Linked DNA regions of Drosophila melanogaster. The protein of the gene in region 2 interacts with the protein of the main gene of each other region in a pairwise test. Each region holds a gene or a part of one and is shown on either strand. Other genes may lie near its edges.

What was found.
Region 1: the proteins of CG14589 (region 2) and Obp57c interact in a two-hybrid assay, tested with the Drosophila melanogaster proteins (one large-scale study listed by BioGRID).

The regions. Positions count from the first base shown.
Region 1 is NT_033778.4:20,501,554-20,504,724, reverse strand, and holds Obp57c (Odorant-binding protein 57c), read right to left. Parts: upstream 1,142-3,171; 5' UTR 1,059-1,141; coding exon 1,005-1,058; intron 943-1,004; coding exon 547-942; 3' UTR 523-546; downstream 1-522. Other genes in the region: Obp57b (Odorant-binding protein 57b), read right to left, coding at 1-333, 397-459. UniProt on the Drosophila melanogaster protein: Present in the aqueous fluid surrounding olfactory sensory dendrites and are thought to aid in the capture and transport of hydrophobic odorants into and through this fluid.
Region 2 is NT_033778.4:6,135,602-6,138,970, forward strand, and holds CG14589 (uncharacterized protein), read left to right. Parts: upstream 1-1,701; 5' UTR 1,702-1,825; coding exon 1,826-2,212; intron 2,213-2,387; coding exon 2,388-2,659; coding exon of another isoform or gene 2,660-2,664; intron 2,665-2,716; coding exon 2,717-2,807; 3' UTR 2,808-2,810; downstream 2,811-3,369.

The DNA.
Region 1 (3,171 bases), about 14 Mb from region 2:
CTTAAATGCACACATCACCAGTCTAAAACTGTACGCACAAAGTTCTTCGGGAGCCTTCTCCATGCACTTGGTAATGGATTTGGATGCCTTATCGGTCGTATTCATCAAATCCAAATCCATTCTGCCTTGAGCATTCAACCATTTCGTTGAATCCCTTTCCAGCTGACATTTAATATTGCACTTGTACCTCAAGTCGACTTTCTCGTTGAGCAGGTAATCCAAAGTTTCGTGTCGCGCGTATTTCTCATATTCTCCTATGGTAATATTATTAACTTGTAGACACTCCTGAAAGTCTTGCCAATTCCAATGAAATATATCAAAGGGGTGGCGAGCCTATATATTGTAGTTTGTTGAAAATAAATCAAAAGCTTAGTCAAATATAAATATCAATCCCACCTTGGCCAAGCTGAACAATAACAAAATCAGAGGCGCAATAAATACAAGTCTGTAGATGAACATTGTAGAAATGAAACTAAACAGTTGCTTGTGAATTTCCCGCTGGCATAAAACAATTGCGATTAAGTTGCTTGACCAGTTTTAGACCGATTATTCGTTTAATTTGTTTGTATTTTTACCCGCTTCGGTGACCTCATCGCTCTGCTCGAAGCTTTCAGTTAGACAAGTCACCATCTTAAACGCATATTCGCAATGATCTTCTTCCTCATCGTAGATTTTCTTGCAATCGTAGAGTATCTCTCGCAGTTCATCGCTCACGGGCTCAATTTGATCAATTTTATCCACATCCAAATAGCCATTGGTATCCAAAAGATTTCCCTTCTCCGCTAGGCAATGGATGAAGCATTTGTATCTTCTGTCGGTATTCTCGAGGTCATCCTCTTCGGAGCTGTTGCGATCGATGAGTTCCTGGAATTCAGCCTGGCTGATGTTATTGCTGGCCAGGCAATCTGACACGTAATTGGTTTCCTCCAGAAGTGAGAGACTCTATAATAAAAACCATACTTTCCAATTAACTGCCATATGAAACAGACCTCAGATGTGATTACCTGTATGGAGACCACGCTGACAGTCAAGATACATATTAGCCATAGCTTAAGCATTATCTAACGATTCGCAGAATCTGTTTCAAGATAAATATGGACATGGGTTTTCCTAGCACAGTAGCACCTCACGATAAACTGTTACTCGCAGAAAGGCGGTTCTGAATTTTATACACACTGGCTTGTGGCTAATTTATGGCGTCTAGCTTATCTGTATCTAGTTAGCTAGTTAATTGCGATCAACTGGTTACTGTACACAATATGAGCCAGTTGGAAGTACGATCTGTCGTGCATTTAATTGAGTCTCAAAACTCGGAACTGAATCAGCTTGCATTGAGCTCGAATCCAATGATTGATTTTCATTGGCAATTATATACTCTTACAATTTTTAAAGGCCGGCCACCAAAGCTTTTCCGGCAAAACTAAACACACACACTGTGCAAAGTTGCACGTAAATTTCATTTTATACGCAGTGAAATTCGCATAACATTTCCTGTCAACATATTTTGCAACACTTTTGTTGCAAAAATGAAGCGACAACTGCAGCGGCAGGAGCAACACAAAGCGACAAATTGCGTTGACAGTGGGTGGAAAAGGGGGTTTTAGTTTGGAATGGTTTGGTTTGGTTTGACTACAGTTTTTTTTTTTTTTTTTTTTTTTTTTGGAGAAAAGACATTCCTAACTATGCAACCCCATGCAACTGTAGACAACAAATGAAAATTCCAAGAATATTCACATTCGCAGTGAGTTTTGGCTTTTGCGGCCGGGACTTTGTCTGCTCTTTTCCAGCGACCTCCTGCTCCGCCAAACCGCTTGTCGCGTTGTTTACTTTGGTTATTTACGGCCTGAACAATTTTTTTCTTATTTTTGCCCTCTTTCTTTTCACGCTGCATACTTTGGACGGTTGCCAAAAAGGAAATATGTGTTGGGGAAAATTACAAATTTTTATGGTCATAGCTAGGTGCTAAACTGTGTCCTCGGCTGACCCAGCCTGTCGCTTCTAGTCCTGTCAAGTCCTGCTGCATAATTGCGATGCCATTTTGCCTATTTCTCAGCCCATCAATTTTTGAGGTTTTATGAAAATTTGGCATTTTCGCGAAACACGATATCGCTGTTATGGGTTTATTAGGGCGAAATTTGATTTCGTTGGACGCTAATTAGTCCTATGAAATGTTTCTGGGTCGATAAGCAGTAGGCATAATTCACAGGTCGACATGCACAATGGAAATGTGAAATAATGCGGATGTTCGAATCGAAATCAGATTTAATGGATTTCATAAATTTGGCATTATTTCTGCCTAATGGTAATTGAATATCAAACTTTTTGAAATTTAATGAGCCCACGCAAAAATTATAAGTATTGAACCTTCACTTCAGTAAAGTTTCAATGAAGGTTAACAAGAAAAAACTCTGACTTTCCTCTGACAGCTACTGCCATTTATTAAACATGTCAGGGGGAGCTGGTGTAGTTTTCTTTCCCTATTTTTCCCTCTTTTTCAGCTGTTGCCGCTGATACCTTTCCGGAAAAGTTGCCACAACAAAAGGAGAACTAGTAAAAAAAAAATATGTGTAAAAAGTTCTGGCTGCTTTGCGTAATAAAAATAAATAGTAAGTGACTTCAATATGCATGTCACGTATTTTGCATGCACTTTGATGCCACGCCCACCCCAACAAAAGCCCGCCCAAATACATTTTGGCACGTGCAGCAACACAATGGAATTTCTGGAAAAATGCGTAAAATGTTAAGGGATGTCGGTGGCGTAGCCATTGCATAACCGAAGCATCTTCTGCAACTGAGCCGAGACTTTGACTTCGCCAAGAAATTGCAACAAATTAATGAACGAACCAGAATCCCGCAGCTTGCCAACGACAATGACCAGGTTTCCCACGTTCGTTTCAGTATAGAGAACCACTAAGTAGTATACATTTATCAATTAGTTCGAAATGGAGAGCAGCATAGTCAGCTGCCAAGTTCATAGCATTGCCAGTTAGGTGCCGTTCTCGACGAAACCACTGGGGTGTGAATCGCTTCTCCAAGACAAACAAAGTCCGGGAAGTGGGTTCACATCCTGGAAGATGCAAGGGCCACGCAGCAAAAGGAGCAGAGGAGCAAAGGAGCTCCGCGCTCGAGACAGCTGCATCTTTGGCCAGCGGCAAAGCGAAGTGAAAAGCG
Region 2 (3,369 bases):
ATTCTTTGTCTGTGCAAACGTGCGCGCATAACATACATAAATACGAGAGCTAATTAAACGTCTGCATACCGACATTTGATAGATTGTCGACGAAAATAAAAGTTGAATAAAACATATATGTAATTTTTTGATATTTTCCTAGGTAAAACAAATTATTGGGGGCTTTAGAGGCACAATGATATTTTTTATTTCCCTGTGCAAATATTCCAATTTTTCTTGTTTTTATGTTGGCTCGCATGACATTATTTGATTAAAAGTGACAATTGTAAGCCTTGTTGGTATTGGAGTAATACCAACCGAGCTCCTAATGCTTTTGTACACTATGTATGTAGATGTTGGCATCCTGGGTGTCAACAATTCTGATCATAATGCTCACTGGCAGCTAGTCCCTCAGATTGCATACTAAGCAGAAAACCAGCGTGCGTACATAATTGGCGTGCCCTTGTCGCGCCAGTTATCGATAACTATTTCCTGCACAGTTAAACTGGAACGCAGTACGGCCAAAACAAAAAACTCATCAGTATTCAGGAGGCTGGGGGAACTGAGCTCTTGTTGTTAGCGCAAGTGCCAACTCATTGGCTTAGCTGTAAGCGTTGGGTGCTGTAATTGCAGCACGCGCTGCTGCTTTTCCCGGGGGCTAGGAACTGATGCTCCAGTAAGCACCTGACAACGTTGGCTGGTAAAAAGCTTCTGGCTACAGAAATAGCGATGCACTTGCCACAACGCAGTCTGTGTCGTCCGTATTTGGGGTCGCCCCAAGCTCCCACCCACCCAGTCCTACCCCTTAGGCCTTCCAACGAACACTAAGGCACATTTGTTATAATTATTTTTAAAGTGCACATATTTAATCAAGTGTGGATTGGGCTGCTATGCAGTAGCACTATGTATGCATGTCAAACAACTAATTAGAGCCCATTTCTTTCCTTTAAGGAATTCTTAATTCAACAGAAACAATGGTTTCGAGTTTAAGGCAAATCAAATTTTAAATAATATAAACGATACTTTAAGAATGAATATTTAAATATTTTTTGAAATTCCAATAGAAATTGGCAAATAATAAATTCAAATTAAATCGAAGTATTCAACTTTCTGAGCGTAACAATTTTTTGCAGATTTTGGGAGTGGTAATCAACTCGGCTGGTAATCTGCTTTGATCAAGAATGTATGTACAAAGGATAAAGTTAAGGATCGCTACCTTCTGTATATATACTAAGCGACAGTAAACCAAGTGTGCAGTTACTCAAGGAAAATTTTGTAGGAGATTCTGTAAATAAAATCCCTGTGAAAAACCCACCAAAGTTCAATGCACGAATCTTGACGCAGTTGCTGCGGTTCATTATTATATTGGTGTTTTGGCTAATTAAGTCATAAAATGGGAAACCCCAGACACGCACACAAACAAACACAAAATCAACGAAAAATTAATTTAAAAAAAGTATTAGATATTAGAAACACCTCTACTAACACTAGTCATATTGTAAACAGTCCAAATAGTTAGCCGCTACTAAAATCGAATAAAATCAAATTAAATTTTCAAAGTATACATACCACGTTCAAAAAGTATCCTAAGTGAATTAAATTTTATTAAATGAATACGCTCTTTGAACTATTCAATTCCGAACTCAGCAAAGTTACGTTGTTCATGAGAACATTAATTACTGTCGGTTATTAACTTTTAAACGTTTAGTAGTAGGCTTCGAGAGCCCTTTCATGGGTAGAGTTTAGTTTGTTTATCCTTAAATGTATTTCCACCACCGTAATCTCAAGCAAACACAACAAAAACACGAGAATTTCAAGTACGGAAAGCAACACATTAGAAGGACCAATGTGGAACGTATCCTCGATCCTGGAAGGGCTAGAGCATGAGCAAGGAGTAAACGCGGACCTCCGCGGCAAGAACGTGTTCAACTTGTGCGTGACCTTCTTGTGGATATTTCTGTGCATCTACGTCCTGTCCAAGCTAACCCAACTCGTGGAGCTCTTTCTGTGCCAGCGGCTACTTGGCCAGAAGCAATGGTACGACGTCCGCACGATCAAAAACGAGTGGGAGCAGACCCTCCAGCTTTATGAGGACGATAAAAGCCAGCTGGACGCACAGGTGCGCGAGTTGCGAGAAAAGAACCTGAGTATGGAGCGCTTGATGGTGGACCTGCGAGACTACAACATCCACTTGATCAGCGAAAACTATATGCTGTCCGTGATGCACGAACAGGTTAACAAAACAAACACAAAACAACCAACATATTTGAGAATCTATTGATCTTAAAATCGCGCGCAATATTATTTTCCATTCAAAGACACTGTTACACTGCTAGCCATGTTATGTAAAGATCTAATTGACCTCGAGACATGTAAAGTGTATTAACAATTCATTGTTCTTTGCTCAGAAACCAAGGCCGGCCGAGCCGAACATCTACATCACCAACAGCCACTTCCATCTCACTCGCCAGATGTTTCTGAACGATAGTCAAATCAATCTGAACGTCCATGACCATGGCGAGAAAGGAGCTTCCGGGGAGGGCAAAAATGTCTGGCTGCAGTATCTAAGGATGCGCAAGTGCTATATGAGCCCGATTGCCGATCCGAATTCGATAGATCCCAGCAGCACCACCAAGCAGATTCTCCCAATTGTTATGAGCACCGAGCAGTTGGCCGAATTGCAAGGTGAGTAAAGTAACAATTTGTGAGATGTTAATAATCGTTGTCTTTTTCTTAGGCATGATCTAGTTAGTTTTAAGTTATATGCAAACATAAATCTCGATTGTTGTATTGATCGCAAAGAAAAAAGCTCAAACAAATATATTTAAATTAATTGCTCTACTTTTCCATTGTTTTTAAACGGAAATAGCGCAAACCTCGGTCAAAACATTTGTCACTATCCTTGCAGTTAAGATAATTATGTTATTCTCACATGTTTGTTTTTCGATTTGAAACGTAGAATCTGTAGAATGATTACTGTTTGTAGCCTTTAAGCTGGAAATAAAAATTAGCTTAGTAATGTTATTTATTTCAATTCGATTCATATTCCAAATTCAATTTTAGCTCAGTGCTTTGGACCACAGATAATCGGTTTTATTTGCCTAACTACCTACCACCTACCGCCTCCCAATTTCCTAAACGCACCGCCCTCTCCTCCCTTCGATGGCCTTCGCGACAACATCTGGCGGAAACGAAACGAAAACAAAATGCAAAATATAGCTGTCTACCAGTCGGTCGTCTGTTTGTTCCAACTGCGACTGCTAAGACGATGACTTATCAAGGCAGAATTTAGCGATTGGTTCTTTAGCTTTCTTCTTCGTTCCCCCACTGTGCCAGAACTCTCCATTTTATTTTCTTTGCCATGGGGTCACTGGCAGTTATCGTTGCAAT